Linked DNA regions of Bombyx mori. The protein of the gene in region 3 purifies or fractionates together with the protein of the main gene of each other region. This does not show direct contact. Links are inferred from orthologs where the notes say so. Each region holds a gene or a part of one and is shown on either strand. Other genes may lie near its edges.

What was found.
Region 1: the proteins of MIP18 family protein galla-2 (region 3) and general transcription and DNA repair factor IIH helicase subunit XPD purify together in Homo sapiens (affinity purification with western blotting; 3 studies listed by BioGRID and IntAct, with this or other methods). This does not show direct contact. The link is inferred for Bombyx mori from reciprocal best matches to the Homo sapiens genes CIAO2B and ERCC2.
Region 2: the proteins of MIP18 family protein galla-2 (region 3) and threonylcarbamoyladenosine tRNA methylthiotransferase purify together in Homo sapiens (affinity purification with mass spectrometry; 3 studies listed by BioGRID and IntAct, with this or other methods). This does not show direct contact. The link is inferred for Bombyx mori from reciprocal best matches to the Homo sapiens genes CIAO2B and CDKAL1.

What each region holds. Positions count from the first base shown.
Region 1 is NC_085127.1:13,501,935-13,507,835, reverse strand, and holds the start of general transcription and DNA repair factor IIH helicase subunit XPD, read right to left. Parts: upstream 3,844-5,901; 5' UTR 3,670-3,843; coding exon 3,665-3,669; intron 3,594-3,664; coding exon 3,494-3,593; intron 3,404-3,493; coding exon 3,306-3,403; intron 3,231-3,305; coding exon 3,074-3,230; intron 2,181-3,073; coding exon 2,078-2,180; intron 621-2,077; coding exon 490-620; intron 1-489. Other genes in the region: zinc finger protein ZFP2, read left to right, coding at 4,265-4,372, 4,793-4,927, 5,754-5,901. UniProt on the Homo sapiens protein: ATP-dependent 5'-3' DNA helicase. Component of the general transcription and DNA repair factor IIH (TFIIH) core complex, not absolutely essential for minimal transcription in vitro.
Region 2 is NC_085117.1:6,781,982-6,787,964, reverse strand, and holds the start of threonylcarbamoyladenosine tRNA methylthiotransferase, read left to right. Parts: upstream 1-2,140; 5' UTR 2,141-2,177; intron 2,178-3,737; exon of another isoform or gene 3,738-3,978; intron 3,979-5,497; exon of another isoform or gene 5,498-5,578; intron 5,579-5,724; exon of another isoform or gene 5,725-5,983. UniProt on the Homo sapiens protein: Catalyzes the methylthiolation of N6-threonylcarbamoyladenosine (t(6)A), leading to the formation of 2-methylthio-N6-threonylcarbamoyladenosine (ms(2)t(6)A) at position 37 in tRNAs that read codons beginning with adenine.
Region 3 is NC_085117.1:635,697-641,691, reverse strand, and holds MIP18 family protein galla-2, read right to left. Parts: upstream 4,048-5,995; 5' UTR 3,923-4,047; coding exon 3,646-3,922; intron 2,816-3,645; coding exon 2,628-2,815; 3' UTR 1,751-2,627; downstream 1-1,750. Other genes in the region: intersectin-1, read left to right, coding at 5,421-5,543.

The sequences.
Region 1 (5,901 bases), on a different chromosome or scaffold from region 3:
ACACCACACAGTAAATGTAGCAAACCTCAAGACATGAAGTGGAAGTTCTAGTTATTTAACTAGTCACATTAAGACTTCATAGACGAAATAGGTACAACGATAGTCCTCACCTGTGCAGGATAAAAATACTACCATCTTATTGAAATTGATGCTGGCTTAAGTAGTAGTAGATAGCTTTCAGTGAATAGATGAAATATGACAATTATTTTTTATTGAAATACAATACTAAAAACGTCAATTAATTAAAGAGAAATTTAATTAATTAATTAAAGAGAGATTAGTAGAAATTGTAACCAAATATATGTTTGGTAACTAATTAATATAAAAAAAAATTATATTTATATTCACATCGTGGGTGTCTAATCCAATAAGAATCAAAGTCTATGGTTTTTTGTTACCTCATCACAACACGAACTATGACAGTGTAAAATAAAAGTAAATGATAAAAAAATTCAAAACAAATTAAAAATTAATTAAATTACTGCTCACAGCAAATCTCGCAAGAAAATATGGACACCAATTTCTATCAGCACCATATTGTTTCATATCATCCATAGTGTAGACTCCGTATGGTAACATAGACTCTTTGCCTTCACGATTGAAGCCCTCATAAAATTGACCTGCAATAATATTCATTTAGTTCTACAAGTCTAACCAAATATGAGTTTAAGAGGATCTGAATATTTATCCAAAGATCCCCAGGCATATAACCTTTACCAACGTGTTACATAATGCAGCTCCATTGTGAAGTTGTATTATCTCAAGATACATAGCTATTTAAGCCTGTGTCTATGGGGTCACAATGACAAAATACAGTAATAGTTTTTTTATCCACAGTAGCAGGTACAGCCCACAGGATACTGAGCAGTGACTGATGCTTATCGGCATGTGAAATAAATAAATAATCAAGTTGCTACATATAGCGGTTGTAAATATCTTATATCTATGCAAGTCTTTCATATACTAATAAAATACATAATAAGCAAATGTTCTCGATTAACTTCCAAGGTGAAAGAAATAACATTGTGTAATAAAAATAAAAACCGCAAAATTATAATTTGCGTAACTACTGGTGGTAGGACCTCTTGTGAGTCCGCGCGGGTAGGTACCACCACCCCGCCTATTTCTGCCGTGAAGCAGTAATGCATTTCGGTTTGAAGGGTGGGGCAGTCATTGTAACTATACTGAGACCTTAGAACTTTTATCTCAAGGTGGGTGGCGCATTTACGTTGTAGATGTCTATGGGCTCCAGTAACCACTTAACACCAGGTGGACTGTGAGCTCATCCACCCATCTAAGCAATAAATAAAAATAAAAAAACAGATTAATTTAGACATATTTTATATGAGTCGACTATTATCAAAGCCGGCAATCTGACTTTTGGACAATGATTGGTAAATCAGAAAAACGAATTATTGACTTTGTATTCCATTGGCAGTCACAAAACTCTTCTGAACGACATCTTAGATAAATAACAGGTTAAGTATTAACCTTTATTTAATGCAGGTTTTGAACCGTATTCTTTGAAGGAGACGATTATATTCAAATCAATCTGTATTGACATATCAATAGGAGCCTCTGGGTCTGCGGAGGGACTTCGGTTCCCTCTGTATTTTGTACCGTATGTTCCATGGGGAGTGCTCTGAGGAATTGTTCGAGATGATACCAGCATCTCGTTTTTACCATCGCACCGCCCGCCACCGGAGTAGAGTTCATCCATACAACCTGGAGCCACTGCGATCATCCACAGTGCGTTTCCAGAGATCTTTTTTGCCACGTACCATCCGGCTATGGAATGAGCTCCCCTCCATGGTGTTTCCCGAGCGCTATGACATGTCCTTCTTCAAACGAGGCTTGTGGAGAGTATTAAGCGGTAGGCAGCGGCTTGGCTCTGCCCCTGGCATTGCTGAAGTCCATGGGCGACGGTAACCACTCACCATCAGGTGGGCCGTATGCCCGTCTGCCTACAAAGGCAATAAAAAAAAAATAAAAAAAACATATCAATAAAATTTTTTTGTCCAAATGCACAGATTGCCACCTTTGATAATAGACAACTCATATCAAGGCGAGAACTTACAAATTGGCACAGAGCTATCACGTTCATGCCTGTCTCGTATATAGCTTGCTGTGAGGGCATGACATTTGCCATCTACAAGCTTCCCTTCTCTTTCTCTTGATACCTGTTATTAAAAAAAATTACAATAGATTAATTTTTCGATAATATCCTATTAATAAAATAAATTTAAGTATGCATTTTCTCTACGCATTATTTTCAAATGAAGTGATGAGAGGTAATCATATTATTATGTGGTCCACATTATTTATTTGGTGGAAATTTCCCATGATGCCAAAAGTCACCTATAAGTTTAATAATTAACTTAAGTTCTTTAATAAAATTTTGTAGTGCTTTTGTTTCTCTTTGAAATAAATAAATCAAGGGCTTATGAAATAAGAGCTTCGGGAATGAAGTATTTTTTAATTATTTTAATAAGTTTCATGAGGTCTCTTTTTGTTATATATTGTAAATCTTCATTAGTTAAAAATTTCAATTTTTTTTATTTATCTTGCTGTTTCAAACTGGAATCTATGCCCTAGTTCCTTAGGCTGATTACTATTTGAGGAGCACTCAAAAGGAGAAAACAATTTATGATCATTTATGTTTTTCTAGCAGAATGATAAAGCCACAAACATGGCACCTACTTTTTAGGTATTAAATTACGTACAAGTGTTTCATCCAGTATCCTGATACTGAAATTTAGCAATCACAAATCAATAGAGCATGGGTCAAGGGTGGAAGGTTCTAATATTTTTTGTCTATGCATTTGTTACTTAAATTTGTTTTAAAATAATTCCAAAACAAAAGTAGAGCAGAAACTGGGCGTTTTGGACATGACATGAGAGGAGCTAGAACAGACTGCCCAAGACTGATATAAATGGAAGAATTTTATTTGAGCCCTACATCACGGCCTAGGGAAATAGAAAAGAAAGAAGAAGATAATTCCAAAAATATAGTACTAATCATAGATAACAAATGCACAATATTTTTTGTTCAGACTTATAAATTGAAACTTACATCAGGATGAATACATAAGTTTTTCCTGGAACTAAGAACAACTCCTGTTAAGTTCGGTTTCTCTCCTTGAGATTTCTCATAATAATTGAATAAATTCTTTAGTTCTTCTAACACTTTTTCTATTTCTGGCACTGTACGAGAGCAGTAGATTAACTTTCTGAAAAAGTATATGTACATATTTTTTTATAATTAATTAATTTTAATCATTAATGTTCTTGTTCATTTTAATTACCTGACATGATGAGGGTTCTGTATCATATAAGCTACGATTAAAGACAGGAGCGATATGGTTTTTCCGGTTCCGGAAGGCATCTCTAACAATCCATGTCCCTACAAGTTCAAGCAAGATACACAACATAACCTTAAAATTTTAGGATTTTGTTTAAAGTAGATTCCTTTTTTAATACAGATTTTGAATACCTTAGCGTCCAATGCACGTTTTAACTCTAACATATAAGCATACTGTTCCGGATAAATGTAATCGTATGGGAAATAGACCAATAAACCATCGACAGTTAGCCTGAAAAAGTAATGAGATTATTAAATTAATGGTATTTGTTTTTTTTATATATTCATTTATTAGTGACATACTTCATGGTGAAAATATAAGCCCTTCACAACTATCTATTTTAAATAATTATAAACAAACAAGTCAAGCAATACATGAATTAATTAAATAACCACTTTGTTTTGATTCGAGTGACAGACATATATTAAGTGTATAATCTATGTGACAGACTACCACAGAACACTATTACTTGCAGACTACCTACATTAAAAACTAATAATTTTTAATGGCTTTTATAACCTGGTAACTAAGACTTTTAAGTCATGTCTTATTTTAATTTATATAATTATTTTTATGAAAAATGATAAAATGGAGTGAAATGAAATGAAATGATAAATGACCACCATTTTACTGCGATTATATTTCATCCCATATCATCTCATCTCATTTCATTTTATTTCATCCTAGTTGATTAATGTCTCAAAATTATCATCTTGATTTCATTTCACTCCATATTATCATTTTTCATAAAAATAAGAATACCTATAAATTAAAATAAGACATGACCTAAAGGTCTTAGTTACCAGGTCATAAAATCACTTAAAAAAAGTGTAAGAAAGAAAAACACAAATAGTGACAAAATGACAAAATTAACATAGCAAAACATTGTTATTTTGATAATTATGGGGAGCGATACAGTCTGTCGGATCTGTCTGGAATTTAATGTTAAAATGTACAGTTTAAAGTTTTATCCATTGGAGACCTATTATGAAGATATCGTAGAAGTTAACGTAAGTTACATTCATTCGGAAAAGCTATTGTGTTGGATTTGTAACGTTTGACCGGGTTCTAGTTTGTATAGGAATTGAATTTGGTTTTTGTAATATTTAATAGTGAATTAAACAGTTTGTCATAATAATGATATTCCGTGAAAAGTAAATGCAACTTCTAAGATAAAAACAACAATTCTAACCTCAAATCCCGTAGAGCACGAATAATTATAAACTAGTAGATAGGTCGGCCTTTTTTTTACTGTCCTACATTGTTCCAATTTTCAATAAAAAAACGTGTATCAAAACAAAAACATGTGTATTTAAAAAAAAAAAATTATAATACCTTATTTGGATTCGCTGCTTGCTGCTTAATTGCTTTGGGATTATAATTGTTTATTCATACTTTGTTAATTGACGATGTTTTTATTTATTTTGCAGCCCGAATGTTCTCCAGATCTACCACAGTGTGTATGTTATCTTTGTGCAGGATTATTGAAAAAGTATAGCAGATTTAAAAGTAAATGCTTAGTTGCACAATCCTTATTTTATAAAATACTAAAGTCTGGTAAAAAGGTAATATTAGATTTTGTTCAAACCTTTTGTTAGACATTTTTATAAGTATAGGATGCATATTCTTTGGATCGTAGAAGTTAGTGCTATGATTTGTTCTAGCTTTTTCTCTCTGCTGAACAAAAATATAATCAAATATAAGTTTAACTAACTGTAGATCTAAAATTGGGAAACTAGACAAAACTAAATTACATAAAATTATTCAATTATGAAATATTAAATATAAATTATTAAAAAATGTGTGTCAAATCATGCTGATTATTCTAACTGAATTGGTGTCATATTATGGAAACAATCCTAACACATGCTCACAAAAGATTTCCAAGGATTAATTACGTGATAAAATAATAAATAAATCCACACATACTAAAAACCTTCCTTCCTTTTGTGTTTTCTAGAGATCTTTTAACAGTAAACAAACTGCTTGTAATGAATTCATTAAACTTTTTTTTGTTATAGCTTAGATTGGTGGATGAGCTTAAGGCCCACCTGGTGTGGTTGCCGGAGCTTATAGACATCTACAACGTAAATGCGCCACCCGCCTTGAGATATGAGTTCTAAGGTCTCAGTATAGTTACAACGACTGCCCTACCCTTCAGACCGAAACACATTACTGCTTCACGGCAGATATAGTCAGGGTGATGGTACCTACCAGTGCCGACTCACAAGAGGTTCTACCTCTAACTAAGCAATAAAAAAAGCATCATCATGTTTCAAGATAGTTGATGGCTTTCATGCTGTTTGTTATGTCTATGGACTACCATTACCACCTAACACCAGGAGCTAGTTTATAATTAAAACAAATAAAAAGAGCAAGAATGTTTTGCAGGTCAATATTGAATCAGTAAAATCATTAGATAAACACTATTTGAAAAAATCATTGACTATTTATACTGAAACGGATGTCACACCAACAGACTTATTCCACAACGATTCTCCTACAGAATATTTGGACATTCCAGCTGATGATAATATTA
Region 2 (5,983 bases), about 6.1 Mb from region 3:
CTCTTTAGTTTAAAAAACATTTACCACCTGGTTTCCTACAAGCCCTTATAATAATAAAACACAACCAAAGTATCGACTATAGATGCTGCACTAAGACACTTTGGGTTGTGCGTTACGAGTGATTGATGGGTTTCGTTAGCTGTGAGAATGGGATTCATAGTAAACAATAAACGGTTCACATTGTATTTTAAGGTTTCTGATGCAGCGGCACACTCAAATACTCGAAGTTTACATTTCAGTATAGAATTTCATTTAATCAACGTAATCTATTATGTTTTCTTTTAGATTGTAGATGAGTTTATGGACTATGAATGGTCTTCGTAGGGTGTTTAATGCGTCATTAGCTAAAGTTAGGTTGAGGTTATCTTAGCGTATACATCCCGAGATGTCAGCCCAGCTTAAGATAAGGAGCCAAAATAGGGCTAAAAAAATTTTTCAAATCCAACGATCTCAAACTCAAAACATTTTCGCCTCCGGAACGACAGATACGTATTAACAATTACATACATCCAGATTCAAGATTTGAAATCGTCGTGGCCTAAAAAATAAGACGTCCGGTGCATTCGTGTCGAGCGATGCACCGGTGTTCGAATCCCAGGCGGGTACCAATTTTTCTAATGAAATACGTACTCAACAAATGTCCACGATTTACTTTCACGGTGAAGGAATAACATCGTGTAATAAAAATCAAACCGCAAAATTATAATTTGCGTAATAACTGGTGGTCGGACCTCTAGTGAGTCTGCGCGGGTAGGTACTACCACCCTGCCTATTTCTGCCGTGAAGCAGTAATGCGTTTCCGTTTGAAGAGTGGGGCAGCCATTGTAACTATACTTGAGACCTTAGAACTTATATCTCAAGGTGGGTGGCGCATTAACGTTGTAGATGTCTATGGGCTCCGGTAACCACTTCACACCAGGTGGGCTTTGAGCTCGTCTACCCACCTAAGCAATAAATAAAAAATCCTAAAAAAAAACCCGAGAGTTCGACCTTCAACGGGCGCATTCACATGCAGGAGAAATGCCACCCCAAAAATTGAACCAGGTCTATACGTGTACAAACTTTATATACACCCTGTAGTATGTTTCGAGACAATGCGCAAAAAAACATTATAATATATTGTAAATACTAATGCTAATTAGTTGAGACAAAAGGATTTTTTTTTAATTTTACGCAAGCGTTAGTTATTACCGAGTTCACTTTTCTAGAAAAAAAACCTTGCACTCTAGCTTGATCACGAATAAAATAACACCTCTTACGACTATGCGTATGTAAGAGTGTACTTTCTTTGAAAAACAAAAAGCAATTTTTGCTCTCAATAAAATCAATGATTCAAGCTGTGTTTTTATTTATAACAAAACCCTCATCCCCACACTTTATTTCATTATATTTACGAGTTTCATGTCACCAAATAAATTTTACTCCATGAATGGCATTAAAAAAATTACGCGCCAAAATAGGCTTCAAATGTGTGTGTTTTTTATAATAATGGCCGCGTCACGGGTCCCGCGCGCGGTGTGAGGATATCCAAGCCGACAAGCGTGCGTGGCGCGTGGATCACACACCTGTTTATTGTTATGTATTATTATTAGTCAAAAACGGTAGACTGACGATCCCACTCAACCTTCACCAGTGACAATAATATATGTTTTCGCTTTACTGAGCAACTGCGGCGTGAATGCTACGGAGATGTTTCACGTAAGAATCTAAATATGAAGAACCAATGAAATACGAACGCGATAAACTCAGTTATTAATTGGAATTTTATCTTGTTCGGTCATATTTAAAAATATACATATATACCTACCTGTTTATTTAGTTATTTAATGGGGCAGAATTAGGATGACGATGATGAACGCTCTTTTTTTAAATATAATATTCATAGTGTATTTTTATAGCCTATTGGATGTTAATGTTAAATCTTGTTATTTTTATGGGTTCTTCTTGTTTTGTAGCTAAATAGTGGCAGCGACTGACATCGCCAGACACGGCTTATTTCTTCAACCACCTATATGGGGTCTAACTTTGTCTTCTATCGTGAGAAATAAAATTGTAATAAAAATTATCGCTATTTAATCCGGTTTTAACCAAATTCACCCTCGTTTGTCATCTGAGTCAGATACAGTAATTTTCTTTTTGCATTAGTAATCACATGCGCTATCGCTACTTGTGCTAAGGTAAGCTTTAAAAATATAATTACTGATTAGCAAGTATATTAGTGTACAACGTCTCATCAGTAATAACTATTCTACGTGCCCAAATATTTGCCCCTTGGAATATGCTCCTCCTTAATACGCGTAAAAATTAAACCAAACAAACTTTCAAATATTTTTTTTTATTTCATATACTTGTTTAACCACAGCTACACTTTCGTTAATGTAGGAATAAAATCTTTCGCCTTTTTTTTAAAATTTGGTTTTGTTCTGCGCTGACAACGGGAATGCAAACTTTAAGCTTATTAAAATTAAATAAAAATATTAAGTATGGATGTTACAATAATGTTGCTATTATTGCCCTTATCTAAATTCCAATATTTTGTTCAAAAGCTGCCTGCCATTAATAATAATATATTTAACGGATTTTTATCGGTAAAACACCGGAAGTAAATATAAATAGTTACAATTTATGATGTATTTCAATTCATTACCGAATTGGCTTAATGATTAAGGAAATGATTACTTACTAATTGTGTGATGTGGAACGTTTCTTAATGTCATTATTATTGTTAGCAGTAAAAAAATTTGGGGCAAGATTTTTTTTATATTATAGGAAAGCTAGGTCATGCCCGTCCGATGCGAAGCGAGTATCCGAGTCTAACTAACTTATGTACTTATACCTTTCCTACTAAATTCTGGATGCACTAAGCAATTTCAAAGTTTTGCTACTTGTTAGTCGTCTTTGGATGGAAAGTAGACGGAAGAAGACCACGAGGTAGTAGGCAAATGGCGTGGAATGATCCGAAATAAACTCTTGTTGCGAGGAGGTGGTCACGACCCTCAGTATCGAGGAAACCGAAGCGAGAAGAAGAAGTCGTCTTTTGATCTCTGAAGGTGAACAGTGTAATGTATTGTGTGTGATTAAATAGGCTAAACACAACGATAAGAAACACCCGGCCCGTCAAGCATTTCTAAAATTGAATTTATTTTATCGACTTTCTCCCATCAATCCGTTCTTCTGTTCTTTTTTTGTTCGTTTTTATTTTTAAATTTGTATATAAAATCTTTACTTTTTTTGTTTTATATTTTTTTATTCTAATATTTATTATAAATAAAGTTTCGTAAATTATTAATAAGCATTAATCTATGCCCGCAAAAAAAAAACAATTTAAATTGGCCCGTTGATTAAAAATGTTGCTTACCCCTGGGCTAACATAATCCGTACGCATTAAACTAAATAATGTAATGCCGGTAGATTTTAATAAATCAAATAATTTTAATTCAATAAATACCTAATAATGTATTTATTTTAATATACTGCGTTACGTTCGTGCATTGTATTCCGATTTACATTTTTTTATATTCACCGAGGGTAAATATGTATATATGTAGATATAGTTTACAAATAATGATAGGCTCATATGAATCAGGTTACGAATTGTTTACTAATTAACTACTTACAAATATTTTCCAAGGCACATTACTCAATATTAAAATTTTGTTTTTCATAATAATCAAACCAGTAATTTACATATGCTATTTCACAACAGTACCTAATATAAATATCAGATGTGGACTTACCAAGGAATTTGGATATCACAAACAAACAGAACGAAAAATTATATAGTCATTCACAAAGTTCACAAAATAAATCACGTTCAAAGTTTGATCAGTCACGTCGTAGGAAATTAACACCACCACACGTCCATCCACAACAGGCAACCCAGCGCTACTGGCGCCATCGACGAGGAACAGCGAAAACTATCGTTTGAATTTCGAATTCATTTTCGACGTTCCTTCCACGCTTGTTAAAATTTAATGTAGTACATTTTTGTAATTCAGAAAAAGGCGCACTCATATGGAACGAAGTTTATAAGATTTCTACTTAATTTTCATGATTTTATTCGTATTATTTAAGGTTCCGTAACGACTAAAAATTATTATTCAAGCTGGTGCTCCCTGTTTGAACAGCTTCATGCTAGGATTTTCTCGTGTTATGGGTGCCAGAAACATATAAGAGTACCAAAAAAATAAGTACACTTAGGCCCCGGACACCGCATAAGCAGTTACTAGAGTGCACAGATATCTCAATGTGAATGCCACCACCACCCACCTTGAAAGATGATGAAAAAATCTCAATTATATTATATAATGGTGTGTTATTCAGTGAGGAGGGGGGCGTCCTTGGATGGACTATGTGAAAGAAGATATGCCAGAGAAGGGTATGAATACAGAGTTGACGTATAATAGCCCGAATTAAAAAAATAATCCCACTGTAGGATATGGAGAAGAAGAATTGCTCCCCCATATTTCAAACCAGGAAGCACGATTATTTGGTGATACAAGTACGTGGTATAGTGGAGCCTAATGGTGTGGGCTCACAATACGCCCTACCGCCACCACCATTAGTATAAAACAAGCTATTATATTACTATTCGTGACTCGAGAACGGTTGCCTCGGATCCTGTATAAGGCGGTGTTGTAAATCGAAATCCGAATCGACAACTTCCTCTTGAAGTCTGTGATTAACAATCTCTAATCAATTGTAACAGTGGCATGACAGAAAAACAAAAACAGTATGTAGGAGCAAATCTATCTTTAGATAAGCCTTCATTATGGTTTCCAAATCACTTCTTTTTCCATAAAAGAGCCGTAAAATGTTCAGTGACATATGTTTACCGGAAAAATATACGTTTAGCATTCATTCCAAATACGGAACCCGTTACTGTGCGTATAGTGATACACACTTGACCAATTTTTCTGTTGCGAATGAAAATGGCTTGTTTACAAACTCTTTTCTCGGTCCTATTATCCACTGTTTAATTTAAAACGATAACAAATAATTTAATACGATCCGACTTTACTATTAATTACAAATTAATGTACTGTTAAATTACCAAATTTTGAATCTTTATTTTTCGCAATAATGAAATAACACTTTTTAAACATAATATTATTATCCGCAACACGCTTCGTCAGATTATAGAAACAGAGTTATCAGCAACATGCTTCGTCAAATTGTTAAATTGTCATCGACTGTTAAATTGTCATCGACTGACAAAAATGGTCTGTACTAAAATTACAAGAGCTTCTTACCCTACGGTTTTAGTTGCCTTACCTGCGTTTGCCACTATTAAATGACAGCTGTACGACCTATTGTTCGTAGTAAACTACCCTTTATAACTATTTGACAATGAAATTTAGTTTTTATGTCATATGGTGTTAGCTTCATTTTAGTTCGATCGTAGTTTTAAAGTAACATAACTTTTTGGATTTTAACACTCACATAAAAAACTACATGATGCGTCGAGAATTTCGTTAAATTAAACAAATTTTATCAGAAGCTTTTAATTTGACCTTCATTATTTAAAAAAAATTAAAACTGATTATTTAATACTTACATATTTTGCAAATTAAAAGTGGTAGGTACTTAGTAATTATTAATGCGAATTAAAGTAGTTCGTTTTAAAATATTGTTTTTCTTTAAAGTGGAATCTATTTGTCACTTTAATAATTATTGCAATATATGAGTAATAGGTAACAATATGATTTCCTATTCTGTTCTCAGGCACAAAATTTTCAAACTGCAACTCCATACAATCGATAGGATTGTACATGCACTTGAGGTTTAATGCTTACAGCTTCATCGAGCGAAAGGTACATACTTTAAATAATGTAAGAAATGGGATGGCAGAACCATTTCACTTTGCGAAGGAGATTTGATGAACAAAACGAACTATGGGTGTAAATTTTTACTGAAAATGATAAATTTTGAAATACATCAGAGCTGAAGTCATTATAAGCAGATCACAAAAACAAAGTCCAGA
Region 3 (5,995 bases):
CACTATGACATCTAAAGGAGAATGTATTATGTTCGATCGATGTTTGTATATAAGAATATGTAACATTAAGATTGTGAAAATTGATAATTTATGTAAACGAAAAATATCACTGTGTTGTGTGAAATGAAATAAACTGATTAATGTCCTAAGTATATTGTGGTTTTCTTACGTAGGGCTCGGACTCGGTAGGCAGCGGCTTGGCTCTGCCCCTGGCATTGCTGAAGTCCATGGGCGACGGTAACTACTCACCATCATGTGGGCCGTGTGCTCGTCTGCCTACAAGGGCAACAAAAAAAAAAGTCGTATCTACTTCAGTGTGCTTAGTGCGAGTCTATTAAAGTTCTCGATAGCGTAAAAGTTGGCCCAATTTTGTATGCATTTGGAACAGCGCCCCACATAGCGGCAAACATAGGCAAACGATCCCATTCCATACAAATATGAGTTAACTTTTACGCTATCGAGAACGTTAAAAAACTCGCACTAAGCACACAGACATATTGCTTGGTTAGTAAGGAACGCCGAGATACACGACGACCTGGACCTCGTAACGATTCGAAAACATGAAGTCAGCGTCGGAACTGCACTTCGATGAAGCTATGCGTCATGTTAATCGCCCAATCGTGACCGCCGCTGACTGCTTCCCGAATGCTGATTATGCAGGAGCCAGTCACCGTCGACGCCCTAGACGCGTCCTTACGGATCCATCAGATCCAATAACCCTTGCATTAGACGCCTTTAGCTCTAACATTAGCAGCAGGTTTAGGGGCTCTGGTAACTGCGCAACCTAATCCATATCCATACACCAGCCCAGCTGAGTTTCTCGCTGTATATTTTGAGCGGGTCGCGATTCCGATCCGGTAGTAGATGCATTCGCGGAGCAGCTGCTCTTGAGTTGTTAGGTCTCCTTCGGAGGCGCTCGGGCAACTTTTTATTAATTTATTGCTTAGGTGGGTGTACGAGTTCACGGCCCACCTGGTGTTAAGTGGTTACCGGAGCGGTAAATGTCGCCACCTATCTTGAGATATAAGTTCTAAGGTCTCAAGTATAGTTACAACGGCTGCCCCACCCTTCAAACTGAAACGCATTACAGCTGCACGGCAGAAATAGGCAGGGTGGTGGTGCCTACCCGCGCGGACTCACAAGAGGTCCTAACACCAGTATTGTTCGTAATTGTTCACATAAAGTATAGGCCAAAATTATCCGAAATAACATACTATACTATAACCCTAGTCATTGGGCACGATCGAAATTTTATTCCTGAACGCGCAGGTGTCACCTGACGTCAGTCATTCTCGCGCCGATTTAGCATTTAAAATAAAAATAATATCTTCGTATACATAATATTAATATAATTAGTATCGTCTAGTCCAGGGGTTCTCAAACATATTTTGTCTACAGTACACTTTGAGAATAAATTATTTTTTAGCGCCCCCGTTTTTTCACCTACTTAACCACTATAGAAAGACCTCGGTCGTTGTCTAAGTCCTCCAAGACGAAATTACAAATCGCTTCCCAAGCCTCTACACAACGCCCCCATTTTTTTTCTGGGTCTCTTACCATCCTTTATGCCTACAGCGACAAGCGGGCGTTATCGCCCACTTTGAGAAAGGCTGATCTAGTTCCTAGCTTAGTTTTCTCAGTTTTCTTGTTAAAATCCGAATACCACAAAAATATAAGTGTTTATAAAATAAGAGTTTGACTTTTTGAGTGCAAATTTCCCGCGAATACGAGCAGTAAATAACAAACCACATACATAATTTATTTATTTATTAACTATACAAAATATTTTTACATAAATTCACTAAAAATATACATTTTTTTTTCTATGATTATTTAGGCTATCAACTTTTATTATCCAGTAGACAGATATCAGAGCACATTGAAAACATAGTGTATATTATCATTATTCATGGAACACAAGGTCTAAATATTAATGGTGGTAGGACAAAAAAAAAAAAAAAACACAATTGCAAGTCTAGATCACTATATTTTTCTGACGTCAAGCAGTAATGAATTTCACTTTCATGATTTCCCTGGGCTCTAGTGACAGATTAAATACCATTGCCGGCAAGTTTGACCCATATGAGCAATAAATAAATATAAAATAGAAAGCCTTTTATTTCCTGCTAAAATACAAAATAAATAGGTATTTAATGTTTATTTATCTCTTATTGCCTAGATGTGTGGACGAGCTCACAGCCCACCTGGTGTTAAGTGGTTACTGGAACATCTACAATGTAAATGCGCCACACACCTTCAGATATAAGTTCTAAGATCTCAGTATAGTTACAACGGCTGCCCCACCTTTCAAACCGAAACGCATTACTGCTTCACGGCAGAAATAGGCGGGGCGGTGGTACCCACCCGCGCGGACTCACAAGAGGTCCTACAGGAACCCATTAAGCATTCAAGTATTTATAAGCAATAATAAATAATATAAGCTGTCTCCTTCAAAACAGGTACCAGCAAGTGACCAATGAAGTCATAGGCATCATATTTTAAGATCGATAATTGAATGATACGTCTATAACCTCAAATGTATATGCAAGTGAATCAGATGCCGTACCAGCATTCTTTGGACCAAAGCCACTGATAATCTGGCTTACAAATAAATTTATCCCTATCAATTAAACAGCTATGCATTGATTGATGATTTGCAGTAGATTATTGTTCTCTAAAGCTGCAGCAACTCTTTCCTTGTCCGCTAACTGTTTGTTGACCGCATGTTCGGAAGCGTGAGAGCCCTCCGATACTTGTACGGTCACTTTGAAACGGCTTGGCAGAGCTCGGAGTAGTTGAACTCGTATTGAAAGACCTGAAATAAAAATCAAATCTCATTAATTAAGCTTGCAGTACTTTTTTCCGGAAGCTTCACAACTTTAATTAGAACTATAACAGAACAGATTATCTACAAAAGTGTTTAACTGCACTAGGGGAATGAACAAGCTCACAGCTCTCATAGTTTATAGCCATTACAGATGTCCGTGGACATCACATTGGGACAACTGCCACCCATCTTGAGTCCTGAACTCGAAGTTTGAGCAACTCGAAGTTTGAGCCCTATTTTAAAATTACTCTCTCTTAAGCAAAAACAATAATGGTTCAAATTGGGAATAGGCTAGACAGTAGTGACTATTCCGTGGACAAAATATCAGACTAACGCATCCATATTAAAACAGCTCAATATCCAAAGGCTTTCTATCGTCTGCTTCAGGAAGATATTTGAGTTCTTCGATCATATTGGCCGAAAGAGAGGTGACAATTTTGAAATATAACTGGCGAGATCTTTTCAACTGCCTAAGATGAGAGATGAGAGATAAGAGTTTACGGTAACCCATTATCAATCCATTGAAAATGGTCAGCGGTAGACTGCACTTTAGTTGCACCCCTGAAATTGCTACCTTCCATGAGGGACTGTAGCTACTCCCCACCAAGCGGGCTGTATGATCGTCTACCCACGCAATTAAAAAAAGGAAGCTGTTCGTTGGCTGGGCATGAATGTTTATTTGCTTGCCAATAAAAAAACATTAGTATGATAATATTAATTTAGAAATATTGGCTGTTCCACCATTATCGGTGTGCGTTGGTTATGTGTGTGTTACTCTCTCATTAACTATAGGTTTTAATGCTAAAAAAAGTACGTACCTATCAGAGTCGCCATACTGCAATGGGGAATTGTCGGTGTAAAATTGACTAATACAGTACTATCATCGTTATTAACGATTATATTCTTCTCTTCCACCACCCTGAGCTCCTCGAGTGTCAATGGGTGTTCAGGATCATTTATATTTCGTATTAAATCAAATATTTCGCGATCATCAAATTCATCTTGCAAGTCTTCGTCGCGTTCCGAAGAAGTGATCTCCCGTTCTGAACCCTTCTCGTAAATGTGAGGGTTGATGTTATCCGCTGTTTTGGTCATTTTATAAGTTCGAACTTTTTATTATATCAATTCGTTCTACTCAAAATATATTTTTTGGTACAATTTTTCCTTATTATGAAAGGCAAGGGGATCTAAGCCCATACAGCCTTTCTACTCAAAATAATAACTCACTTCTATCTCTATCTCTTTTTTTTAGGAATTTTATGACATGGTAACTAAGATCTTTAAGTCATATCTTATTTTAGTTTATATTCTTAATTTTATGAAAAATGACAGACGCTGCTAATGTAATTCATATCTACTTACACAGAATAATAATGGCCAACATAGACAGTTTCCTTCGTTTTTTATTATTTATAAACGGCAAAATAATTAATAATTGACACTGGCTAATGCACAAACCGAGCGAGCCACAATAAAAAAATTAACTGTCAAAAACCAAATTTCGATTTTGACAGTTGCACCCAATCAAAAAATCAATACTTTATCTAGAACTTTGAGGGGTTTTACTCGATCCTTTTTCAGGAGGATCAGTCTTAAATCTATTCTCTTAGGTCAAACAACAGTTAAAGTAAGTAATACATTATGTAATTCCCTAGAATTTAATTCCTAAATATTTGTTTTAGTTCGCAGACACACCCCCTGCCTGTTGGTACCAAAAGAGTAGTAGTACTTATTATTAATTTATTGAACAACGTTGATTTTAACAAAAAAATGTATTGAATATTAGTGCTTAAGGTATCTTTAAACTTTATCCGGGTCACGGAGTTATAAAACAACGAGCTAGCAATATTAAAAAATTAAGAACATTATCTTGAACTGCTCTACCAATTGTAGTATTCTAATACTTATTGTATGTTGAGTTACTTATTGTATGTGACACACGTCTGTACGTCGAGCAAATATTTTAAATAGAACTTAGGTACATCTTTAATAGATTTAGAGAAGTGATAAAATATAGGAAAAATTTAGAAGTCTACTTTTCACTTGATTAATCAAGGCTTTTTCGTACTTTATCATGACCTACCATATTGGAGACATTCTATTCATACAATTTGGCTAAAGACACCGCTCCTGATTGTCGGGAAAAAGTTAACAAAAACATGTTGCAATGTCTATTGTTTAAAATCAAACAAATTTTTTTAATAGTACAACATAAACCTTAAACCGTGATATGCATTTCTTTTTTTAAATTTGATAAACCAAGATATGCAGAAACATGCTCATAATAAGATATTATCTGATGGTTTATCTAGTTCAATATTATAACTTAATATAGATATATTCACCTGTTCTAATATTAACTTCCCAAAGGAAGCATTGTTTGATTTCCAAAGACAACATTAAATATACAATGCCAAATTAAAATATTCTCAAAATTACTGCATTAATGTCAATCAAAATGTTGAAAATTAAACAATGAAAAAGGATTAGGATTTTTCTATGATTATAAATTTAGGCTTCCTGTAATGAAGACTGCATACATACTAAGAGGTATATCTTTTTTTAGGTTCAAAGAAACGTCTTTAATTCAGAAATGATGGCGGACCCGTGGACTATACAAGCACATGAGCATGCGAAGTTCTCGGAGCACTTTAGAAACCTTGGACCTGTCAATGGAAATTTGACGGGCGAACAAGCTAAAAGATTCATGTTACAGGTCAGTTAATTTGCGTATTTATTATAAATCTAGAACTTTTTTTTTTTATTGTCCTTGTAGGCAGATGGGCATACGGCCCACCTGATGGTGAGTGGTTACCGTCGCCCATGGACTTCAGCAATGCCAGGGGCAGAGCCAAGCCGCTGCCCTACTGCTGCCTAAAGTTAACTCAAATTTGTATGGATATGGAACAGCGCCCCTAGCGACCAACGTAGGCAAACGTTCCAACTCCAAACAATTTTTTTTTTTCATATTTATTTCGTTTCATATAAATTTGAGTTAACTTTTACGCGATCGAGAACGTTAAAACACTCGCACTAAACACACGAGATGGAATAAAGAGTAAATTAGGCTACTTCTATTTTAGAGAAATTCTAAAATTATTTTTACACGCTGGGGTTCGGGATAAATAAAATTTCCACAAATACAACCACAGTACAAATTAAACACCT